3 linked regions of the Tribolium castaneum genome follow. The main gene of each other region encodes a partner of the protein of the gene in region 2 in a complex. Links are inferred from orthologs where the notes say so. Each region holds a gene or a part of one and is shown on either strand. Other genes may lie near its edges.

Evidence for each region.
Region 1: Strump (region 2) and CCDC53 share a complex: the UniProt entries of both Drosophila melanogaster proteins name them as parts of the WASH complex. The link is inferred for Tribolium castaneum from reciprocal best matches to the Drosophila melanogaster genes Strump and CCDC53.
Region 3: Strump (region 2) and wash share a complex: the UniProt entries of both Drosophila melanogaster proteins name them as parts of the WASH complex. The link is inferred for Tribolium castaneum from reciprocal best matches to the Drosophila melanogaster genes Strump and wash.

The regions. Positions count from the first base shown.
Region 1 is NC_087402.1:711,056-715,339, forward strand, and holds CCDC53 (WASH complex subunit 3), read right to left. Parts: upstream 2,868-4,284; 5' UTR 2,737-2,867; coding exon 2,686-2,736; intron 2,626-2,685; coding exon 2,461-2,625; intron 2,390-2,460; coding exon 2,151-2,389; intron 2,101-2,150; coding exon 2,058-2,100; 3' UTR 1,978-2,057; coding exon of another isoform or gene 1,840-1,977; 3' UTR 1,794-1,839; coding exon of another isoform or gene 1,620-1,793; 3' UTR 1,452-1,619; coding exon of another isoform or gene 1,449-1,451; 3' UTR 737-1,448; coding exon of another isoform or gene 632-736; 3' UTR 631-631; downstream 1-630. Other genes in the region: acidic leucine-rich nuclear phosphoprotein 32 family member B, read right to left, coding at 632-736; RpL36A (large ribosomal subunit protein eL42), read left to right, coding at 1,449-1,451, 1,620-1,793, 1,840-1,977. UniProt on the Drosophila melanogaster protein: Acts at least in part as component of the WASH complex which may regulate wash nucleation-promoting factor (NPF) activity and is required for its membrane targeting during endosomal sorting.
Region 2 is NC_087394.1:25,600,797-25,604,451, reverse strand, and holds the end of Strump (WASH complex subunit 5), read right to left. Parts: intron 2,076-3,655; exon of another isoform or gene 1,935-2,075; intron 1,732-1,934; coding exon 1,502-1,731; intron 1,453-1,501; coding exon 1,006-1,452; intron 955-1,005; coding exon 749-954; intron 699-748; coding exon 545-698; intron 499-544; coding exon 342-498; 3' UTR 268-341; downstream 1-267. UniProt on the Drosophila melanogaster protein: Acts at least in part as component of the WASH complex which may regulate wash nucleation-promoting factor (NPF) activity and is required for its membrane targeting during endosomal sorting.
Region 3 is NC_087403.1:4,501,373-4,504,634, forward strand, and holds wash (WASH complex subunit 1), read right to left. Parts: upstream 2,018-3,262; 5' UTR 1,917-2,017; coding exon 834-1,916; intron 776-833; coding exon 587-775; 3' UTR 538-586; downstream 1-537. Other genes in the region: uncharacterized protein LOC103314773, read left to right, coding at 13-112, 157-209, 256-404, 455-497; adenosylhomocysteinase-like 1, read right to left, coding at 3,181-3,187, 3,235-3,262. UniProt on the Drosophila melanogaster protein: Acts as a nucleation-promoting factor by activating the Arp2/3 complex to induce actin polymerization. Participates in both linear- and branched-actin networks.

The sequences.
Region 1 (4,284 bases), on a different chromosome or scaffold from region 2:
AATGGAAATAAACAAGCAAACTAACTAAAAACGCTCTTTTCATTCACAATTCTGATCCATGATGGATCTTAATCTTTGCCACTCGTTAGCGTAGCATCAAAAATGTCCAACTCTGTTGATTCCAGCGAGCTTTATGAGACGCTTTGCATTGAAAAACCGGACCAAAGTGGTCAATCTCCGGGTTATCGTGAAATTTGCAACGAAATCGTCAACTCGCACGCGGAAATCTTTCTAGAATCCGATGTTATTAAAATATTAGTGTGGCATCTAGCCTCGCACGAGGACGCCTCCAAGTTGCTATTGATTTCGCCATATTGAATCGAGCAAGCGATGCTAGCCTCAACCCGGGGTCCATTGTATATGGCGGGATGCTTTCCAAGCGTGTTTACACCGCATGCCATAATGAAAAACAGTCGAAAACACCATGGCAACAACAAATTTAGCATCGTATTGTCGCAAAGCCGCCTCCGCGCCGGGAAAAAGCCCCGTTCACATGGCAACCATCCCGCGGAAAACGCGTGAAAACGGCGTTTCCGCGCGTTTTCCACGCGAAAATCCCGACCACAACATCCAACGGCCATGTGACCTTATCGCAAAGCAGCGTAAATGCGAAAGAAACAGTCGAACTCACCTCCGCCGCTCGCTTCGTGCCTTTTAACTCGCATTTGGCGTCGGGCGCACTTTTGTCGTTGTCGATTTTTTCGACAGCAACTTCGTTATTTTCTTTCGAACTCATTTTGTTTATATTCCTGTGTGGGTTTCACGCTTTATCGAAAAGTGACGTTCACCAACGTTGAACACTACTGACCGGCTACTCGTTAGCTTTGTTCAAAAATTAAGATGGCGCCGCTCAAACCGATCGGCCCCGGACTTGGACGAGTGACCGGCTTTCGACTCCCTAAACTATTTATTCACACCAACCGCCAAAAACCAAAAGACAACAAATTCCAAGCTTTTTCGGTGTCTCGGACCCAAAAAACGTGCGCCAGATTTTATGAAATTAATTGCAAGGTGTTTGCTCATGAGGGTTCCGAGAGCACGGATTGAGTTTTACGAACCGGACCGAGATTAAAAACGTGGTTTGAGTATGCCACCGCCAGGGGCGCTCTTCAAAAAATTTCCCTCCACAATCACATTCATTTTATTATTATGCAGAAAAACAGCCGATTATTGACTCAATTTAAAAGGGAACTATTCGGCACGACTTGTTACCCACTAATTAAAACGCCTTTCCCTTGTGGCCGCAAAAATGCGTCTTAAAAACTTTTTCTTCTATTTTTCCTTGCGACCACGTGAAACGAATTAAAACTCTATAAACTTATAACGAAACACTTTTCTATCTTTCATCCAATATAGCAATTCAAAATTCGCGCCAATGTAAACGACGCATGCGCATAGTGTGACACGTTGCATCTCTCTCTTTTTTTTGCAATAAAGAAAATCCCAAGATGGTAAGCAGGTTTTCAATCAAATATCTCAAAAAATCGCAATAATCGGCCTTTGAATTACCGAAAATTTAGCGAATTCGTGCATTTGGCGTCCTTGGAAGGGCACATTCCTGTTTATTTTCGCGTTTTGAGGACGTTTGATGAATTGTGGGGTTATGTCATTGTTTTTAGGTTAACGTCCCGAAGCAGAGGCGCACCTTCTGCAAGAAATGCAAGGTGCACAAGTTGCACAAAGTCACCCAATACAAAAAGTCCAAGGAACGTCACGCTTCGCAAGGTAGGAGACGTTACGACAGGAAGCAGCAAGGTTTCGGTGGACAAACCAAGCCCATCTTCAGGAAGAAGGTATTTTTTTACCTACTTTGAGTGTGGGGCTATTGTGTGTTTTTAGGCTAAAACCACCAAGAAAATCGTGCTCAGGATGGAATGCACTGAATGTAAATATAGGAAACAGATTCCCTTGAAACGCTGCAAGCACTTTGAATTGGGTGGCGACAAGAAGCGCAAGGGACAAATGATTCAGTTCTAATTGTTTGACTAAATAAACACATTTTGTAAAAATTCATAACGTGTTTTATTTATACTTTTAACAATGTTTTTTTAACACAATTAATTAACCGAGGAACTGTCTTGCGTATCAGTTGATTTGGAACTAAAAAATAACGGACGTGTTGCTGATTCGCCAGTGATAGTAGTACTTACTCCAATATGCAAGGGTCAAGTCCCTCTGTTTGCATTTTCAGCTTGACAGCAGCTGGGGGAACCCCAAATTGCAACATTTTGAAAAAGCGTTGATATCGCGGGTCTGACGCAACATCAGGCTCTACCTCTACATTTTTTTCAATTTGCGTCTCCTCGTCTTTAACAGGAGGCAGATCTAAATCGTTTTGTTTAGGCGAGTCCTTTGCAGTGTTTTCTTCTAAATGCGCAATTGAACCTAACTAACACAACCGACTCACTTTTGCGCCAAATAATCGGAACTTAAGGCATTCTAGCATTGTTCAATACTTACTTGCGACTCAAGTATAAGTAAAGAAGCCTCAACTTCTTGCAGTTTGTACTCGAATTCCATCAAACGCGATTCACACGACTGTGCAAAATGGTTTAAAAACGACACCGTATTCATTACGAAATGATTGATAAAAGCAATCGTGCGCTTTTGTTGAATGGGTAAAATCTAAGTGGAGAAGTTGGACGTGATTGTTGCTCGAATGGGTCGCTTTTTTCAAAGACTTACCTGCGTGTAATCCACATTTGGATCAATTGAGGAAAGGTCGTTCACTTGCATTATTTACATTATCTGAGTGAAAAACACTCAAAATTAGGGGGAATCAAGGCATCGGCACAAGTTTATTGAATTAATTGGCTCCAAAGGGACACAAAGAACCTGAGTGACAGCTGTCAAAAGTGACGTTTGAGGTTAGATTGTGGCGAAAGGATCGCTTTTTATGCAATTAACAAACGCAAACACGCTCAATAAAACAGATTTATTATGCCAGATTTATAAAATAACATTGCATCTTGTAAAATATAAAAACAATCACAGTATAAATAAACTTGATATAGACTAAACTACAAACCTTAACAATTTTATAAGAAAACTATCATTGAATTTAGGGCGGTACACAGTACTGTTATATTTAATGTCAAATATTGAACTCGCTTTTGCATTACTTAGACTTAAGTAATGGTGGTTTCATGGAGCACCCTTGTACATATCACTAGCTTGGCAAATATTATCTAGCGCGCTATTGGCCAATCGCGTTAAACTATCAGTCATATTCGGCTCCTGGCGCCCCTCACTCTCGTCCATAAGCGATAGATTTTGGGTGAAAGTCTCTGACAAGTTATTTGTCTCAAGCATGCTTAAATCACCCGAGTTTAAGTCAATCGGTTTCAACTCCAATTGTTGATTGTCCAGATTTAATAAACTGCTTATACCACTTGGCGTTTCACTTAAATTAACACCACTGAGATCATTTTGGGCGGAAGGATTCCAATTCATGTTTAACATATCGCCGACTACTGAAGTCGAAGGCATATTCCAGTTCATCATGCCTCCGATTGGCGGAAGCACGTTCTGGAACAGAGGGGCTTCCGGGGGCGTGGGGGCCACGTAATGGGGCGACACGTTCGGGATGGGCGCCTCGAACATCTGCCCGCCGTACGGCGAAGGCGCCTTATCTAGAAAAAAACACTAAAGCGGGGAAAAATATAAAATTAAATTACCTCTGGGCTCGACTTTAATGCCTTCGGATGGAATGTTGAGTAGGAAGGGTTGGTGCGTCCCTAACAAAAAATCATTAATAAATTGGCCAAATCACAAATTAACTTAAAATCACGCAAAACTACTAAACAAACCAATTGTTAGCCAACATAAGCTCAACCAATTAATAAAACAAAACAAGTTATAAGAAAAAATCATGCAAAACATTCATGTACCTTAATTCCGGTGACAGTTGGCTGCAGCTTATGACGCAATGAAAGACTGTTTACTTGTAAAAAACTTTAATACTTCAGCTGATATAAAGATATAAAGCCTTTAGAAAACACTAACAATCTACCTTTAAACTTTCCAAACAATTGAACATCAACACACTTAAAATTGTATAACTTTGTGTAATAATTCCGATCACAGCCCCATTGATGGATGGGGGATTTCGATTTTGGGCGTAATAGGCGACATATCGCGGCTTTTTAATTTAAAAAAAGGTTAAAAAATTCAAATATAAGACATGAGCACTGTCAGTGTCACTTTTAACGAGCTAAAAATATACCTAGAGTAGGCTGTAACGCGAAATTTGACACATCAGTGACAGTTTTAATGTCAGATTAT
Region 2 (3,655 bases):
ACAAAATTCATGTTCAAAAGTCGTTTGCATTATGTACAGGTCGCTAAAAAGTATAAATATTATAAAAACTATCCATCAAAACTGATTGACATTTGGTATATGTTTAAAAGTATTTAAATTCTATTTCTATCTCCATTTGTTCTGGGAAAACAAGGCTAACTTATTTTTTTAATGGCAAGATGGATCAAATTTAATATTTTTAAAAAGAGTTTTTTTCTGTGATGGAACGCATCAATAAAATAATCAATGCATAAAATAACGTAATACTTTTTAGTGAAAAATTACATTTTATTAAAAAAATAACAGATGGCGCCACACAATGCGACCCCTAAATAATCAGTCTAGGAAGCAGAGGCGACTAGAGTTTGTTGTAAATGCAAAATTTCATCGGGAATTTCTTCTTTCAAACACTTTCGGGAAGACTCTGAGTAATTGGTGTACGTTTCCAGAAAACTCATAGCTAGTGACACCTCCAAAGGCAATTCGGTATTTTTTATACTGAAAAAATGCTTCAAACTTAAAAAACTCGACAAGTGTTACTCACCTTATGCTATATCTAGTCAACTGTACGACATAATTGGATAATAATTTGATGAAACTTTCGTTTAATTTATTATGGAATTGTTTGACAAGGGTGTGGATTGCGACAGTAAATGCGGTTCCGTCGATTTGATCCGCATTTCGTTTGTTGGCGTTTCCTAAAGTTTTAAGTTAATAAATCGATTAAGCAAGCAAATAAGTGTCTTACCTAACTGACGTAGAAAAAAAAGTTTACTAAAATGTGCAATCGCAAAAACGAAAATAGTAATGTAATGATTATCGTCAAACTTTGACGTGATGTATATTTTGTTGAAGGGATTATTCAGGCCCGAATAATCGAAATAATGCGATAGTTTGGACATGATGTCCTCACTTGGGGCACACTCGCCGTTCACAATGTCGAGTAACAAAGCCCTAAAAATTATTTAAGTCCTAAGAGAGTGAAAAAAAATCGAAATATTATACTTATTGAGTGAACGTAGAGACGATTCTAAATTTTTCGCATTAAACTTGCAGGATTTATTCAAATGAAAAGCGATTAAGTTCCTCAAAAGCTGCAATTGTCCGACCAACAAAATGCAATCAAGAAACTCGTTCCAAATTTTCGTCGTTCGATTAACACAGTTCTGGTAAAACTTGATGGGGTTGTTCACATTTTCGCTCCCGATCATATCTTTATGAATACTCGCCAAAACGTTATGCCATGCGTTCGTTTTGGCGTTTTTCATTTCCAAATACCCGGACAATTTTTGCAAATTTGAAATAATCATGAAGGAGAAGAGCCGGTCAAGGCCCACCAAGCCCGAAATTTCGATAGCAGACGCTACTAGAGCTATGGTTTCTTTGTTGAAGATTGGTTTGTGACTTTTGATGTCGTACCAAGTCGATGTTTGTTCGAGATAAACGGACTGTCTGGGAAAAAATTGGAGCAAATTGCACAATAATCGAAAATTTGACTCACTTGGGATCGGTCAATTTGATTATTTCGCGCGCTAATCGCCCGATGAAATTTTCGCTAGAAGAGTCCGTGCTTGGGTAGAGCGGGATTGGGACGTAACGGCTCTGGAAAGCGCTTTCCCAAGTGTGGATTTTGTTGCGCAAAAAGCCGTTGCATTCCTGCTCCACGTTGTAGTTGATGATTCGAGTCACTTCCTCTTGCCAGATTTTTAAACCGTTGATGTTGATGTAATCCTGTCCGAAAAATGAACAAAGTAGAACCAAAACTGGTATTTTTACACTTTCTGTACCACCACCACAACAAAAATTAATTAAGTTCTCGTTTTTGTTAAAGGAATTCACAATAACATGTTTTAAATCAGCTAGCAAATTTCAAATTGCGCGCTTCGACGAATCAGCCAATCAAGTGGCAGCGACGTGATGTCAAGCGTTAGTTAGTATGTGATGCGCGTCGTTTCCTTTAAGTTTTTCGTGTTTGCGGGTTGATTTTTGCGTGTTTTGAGACAAAACCAGTGAAAATTAGTTCGATACGGATTTCTGGAGCTGCTACGAGCCGTTTTTGAAGACAAGTAACTAAGGTTAGTCAGTTCTCTTTTAGGTTATATGTATGCAAAAAAATGTTGCGATGTCTTTAATTATAACAACGATAAGGATACATACTTTTTGCACAGAAAGCCCATCAAGTTTTGATTTTGTTGTTTTGTTGTAAAAATAACCTTGACACAGAATAAACATTCTCCCTGTGCAAGGATATGACTGATGTACAGTGTGATTTTTTAAAAACGAGCCACCCTGAATATCTCCGAAAATAAACAAAAAATTAAAAAATCACGAGACAGGGCAACATCACAGCCGAATTTCTGGTGTAAATACCTTTTATTTGAGGTATCATAAAGGGGGCTATGCCATTTAAAATTTTAAAGGAGTTGTTTGTACTACAAAGGGAGTTGGTGTTACAAGTTTAAAAAAAAAGTGTCCCCGTGAAAATGAAAATCAGGATTTTCTAATTTTTCTGAGATATTTAGGGTGACTCGTTTTAAAAAAATGTATTTATTATATCACGTGGAAAATGATATTAAATTAGTTTGCCTTTTTGGTAGATATAACTTATTTTCGTCTGTTTCATTCGATATCAGTTCGTATTTTGATTAAAAGATGCCACAAACTCATACTGATTTTCAAAAATAAAAAAAACTTAGCCGAAAAGGTGTCTTTGATAGGAATTCTCTATGTTTTTTTGTGAGATTTTGCTAAATACTATTGAAACTAAGAAAATGATTAATCATTTTTGTACTCTTTCTAGCCAAAATTACAAGATTAAGCAGAAAACGTCGTTAGGTTTGCTTTTTTCGATTACGTAAGCAAGTTTTTAAGTTTTCTCAAATTGCCTAAAAAAATCACGAAATTAAATCGAAAATGTAAGTTATTTGACGTTATTTTCTTCATTCCGGATTCTAGCTGATCTCTGTTCGAAAATTTATTTAAAAAAAAATCGAAAAAACAAATGTGGTAAAAATTTGTTCTTTACAACGCCTCGGCATATTAGAAAACAATTTTTTTGTTATCAGATTTTTTTGTTTTGTTTTGTTGTCAAAAATGATATCGAATTTGCTTTTTCTGAGCGTTATTCTGTTCAAAAATAGTGGTTTTGTTTTGTAAAATTACTAAATTTTGTTGGAAATTACGTTATTTTTATTTTCTATTTTCGTGTGTTTTCAGACGTTCGTCCGTTAGAAATACAATTATTTTACAAAATTTCGTAAAAAATTAGATAAAAACATGAATAAATTTGGCTTTTACACGTTTCTGAAGTAACCAAGTTTATTTTTAAGATCAACAAATAGAAAATCTGGTCAAAACATTTTCAATTTTTATTTGAGATTGTTTTGTTAAAATAATAAGATACTAGGTATTAATAATTAATTAAGATGATTAATCGTTCTTAAGTTAAAATTATCTTAATTATTTATCTATCTTATTTATCTTATGGTTTTTTCGAGTGTTTTTGAGCAATAAACGCAATTATGAGTCGAAGACAAATTCAGGACTGATGGTTGTACTGATGATTCTCCTCGATAGACATACCAATAAACGATATAAGCTGTCGTCTTATAGCATTGCAAGAATAGATTGAGTCTGTAAATATTGGGGTGTTGAA
Region 3 (3,262 bases), on a different chromosome or scaffold from region 2:
TAAGAGTAAAAAATGCCAAAACGGCCTTATCCGGATTACGATATCGTACAACCGGTGAAAAAACAACAAAATAGTTTATCAAAATCGCGGAAAATTCGCTCATCGTCGTCAGGTAACCACATTGAGGTTATGTCAGTTTTTTATTATTTGTTTCAGAGCGGACGCTCCAGTTATTATATAAGGGGGCCTCCAAACGCGAGAAAAATGAGGTAGAATATGTGAATCGGTGTGAGACTTTATTAATTTGATTTGTAGGAACCTCATTCACTGATGTGTACTGTATGTTCAAAAGAAGCCCCCTCGGGGGTCATTTGTAACTATTGTGAACACGCGTTATGTTTGCAGTGCACAAATATGTGCCATAAATGCAGTAATGGGTTTTGTAACGATTGCTCATTTCCCACGTGAGTGGCTTTGTTCCGAGTGGCTCAAAAAATTAAATGTTTTTTTTTAGATACGATCATAATGTCGCAGTTTGTTATTCCTGCTACAGTTAGCGCACAATTGTATTAATTTATTGGGTAAAGAAAACAATCATTATGTAACATGATAATATTTATTGATATAAAATATAATATTAAATGAATTAATCATCCCAGTCTTCGTCTTCGGTATTATTCTCGTTGCTCTCGCTACGAATGGGCGGCGGAATCATGGCCGAGATTTTTTCTAACGCACTACTTGCGTCCAAACTTTCCTGCTTTTTAGTACCTGAGATGCCCTTCCTGCGCATGGAAAGCTTGGCGTGCAAATCAGCCATCAAGTCGCCCCCAGTCTGTAAAACAAATAACTAATTATTAAACTTTTTCAATCAACAAAAGTCGAAAACTAACCACGGGTTTTGCCGTCGTTTGCTCCCTGTCGGCACTTGTGGCTTTCAAATTTTTGGCGCCCCCCGCTTTCCTGATGGCCTCCATGAGGCTGGCCCGCACGTCCAGCTGGGGCAGTTCGGTGATTTTGGGGGCTTCCTCCACCTGTTCAGTGGGTGGTGTGGGCGGTTTGGGCGTTTCAACCTTCTCTGGGACTTGCTCCTCAATTTCTTTGGCGGGTGTTGGGGGCGGCGGGAGTTCGATTTCGGGGAAGTCCTCCTTGGGCTGGGGGTTGGCGGGTTCGATTGTGGGCAGGTCGGGGATGTTCGGGGTCGTGGTGACTGAGGGGGCGATCCCGGGGCCCAACTCCGTGTCGTACCGCAGGTCGTCGGCAATGTTGGGCAAATCGGGCAGATCCAGGGGCACGTCGAGCGCCGGGACTTCCCCCAAGTTGGGGGTGTAGAAGTAGTTCTGGGTGGAGGAGCGCGTCAGGGTTGAGCGTTCGCTGATTGAGAAGGGGGCTGCCCCGATGCTCGAACTGTCGTTGTGGTCTTGTTCTTTGATTTGTTGGGAGATTTCCAAAGGGTCGGACATTACGAAATTCGTGTAGAGGTTTTTGCCGGAATTGTAGAGGAGTAGGTCGTTTACGCATTCCGAGTCTTTGGGGATTTCCCCCAAGCCGCCGAACGTCTCTTTGTTCTCATTTTTTTTGAGTTTCACGTGGTAGATGTACAATTTATCTAAATGTTCATCGTTTGATGGGGCTTTTTTCTGCTTCACTTTATGTCGTACTAATTCAGGAGGTTTAACGTCGCTAAATATTGAAATATAGGGTTGATTTACATCGGACGCTGGGTATTTACAACTTGAAAACACTTGTGTTGCTTTTTTTGCACCGTTCAATTTGTTTATTTTCATTTTCACTTTATCGACACGTTCGGATATGTTTGATATCTTTTTTCTGCTAGATTCAATTCTGTTATTTATATGTTTTAATATGTCATCTGTTACGTTCGTTAAATGATTTAATACTTCAGCCACCTGAACGATTGTTTCCTGTTTATTCAAGTTTTGAGGGATTACAGGTACTTTGTAAACATGATTCATTTTAAATAAACTAACTACATTAATTAATTAAAAAAATGACACTACACTCTACACTTTTTGCAGGTTATGTTTTGTTTTTTACGTCATCTTATCACAGCAGTGTCGCCATTCGCAAGCTCAATAAATTAACATTTACTAGTAATTTCAAATTGTGTTAGGACAAAAAATTGTTTTAGGTTTTAGGAATAAAAATAAAACACATTGACGTATTAATTTCTATATTACGGCATAGAAAGAAGAAGACGGCGGACCCGTGGGTCACGCTGTGAATGATGTGATTTGTGGATTAAAATAAAATATCGAAAGAAAGATATAGATCTAAAGATAATTTGTATACAGAAGTACGTTTAAAAATGTGACAATTCTGTCTTTGAAAGCCTTAAAACAGCCTTCAAAAACAGAGTCGCAATTCCGGTTTCTTAACAAGAGTTGTTGATTGCTCTGCTGTAAGTTGATAAAGGCAAGTTATTGTGGAGTATAATTGCTTCAGTAATTTCTTCAAGTAGAGCAATTAACTTGTAACAATTTGTCGTAATATTGACAATAACAATAATAATTTAAAATGTGGAGGACCGTAAAAAATCCTCATTATAAAATAATACTTTCCAAAATCACTAACGTCAAAACGGCTAAACAAACTGGTTGCATTTAAATTATTTTAGTGCTAGAGGGTGTTGGCACTACTTAATAAAAAGCGTATCAATTCAACTGGACTAGCGTCTGGGATGAGACAAAACAAACAAACCATTGGACTTCATCACAAAATCAATCAGATACACTTATTAAATCCATTAATAAAACCAGAACGAGTTAAGTACGTAACTTAATACAACTAAAACAATGACATACTAGACCTGATAGTGATTACATATGCACGAGTTTTGTTTCAAACATGTAAGTAACGTATTTTTATTCACGGGAAGGCGTTTCAACATTGCGCCAATTTTTATTAAAATTAAATAAGATCAGAAGCCTTACCCATGAATCAACAGTTGAAACAACGTAACGATTTTTTCACAATTAATGTTTCATAAAATCCTGAGATATGTAAATAAATACTAGCAGAAAAAATACTGTTTGTGTTAAGTAATAATACTTTTGATTCAGTAAAATTATGAAACATGAATTGGTTGAGCAACCATTAAAAAATGATCAATCCTGCATTTATTATAGCTAAACTATCTGGCAACAACTAACATTGACTTAATGCTACCGTGTTCCTTTATTCCTTCACCCCGTTTATTATGGATAAAACTTTATATTTTTAATACCTTAAACGAAAACATCAATAATCGGCAATCAAGCCAAACCCGCTTACCTATAATAGTTAGGCTTGAAAGGTCCAG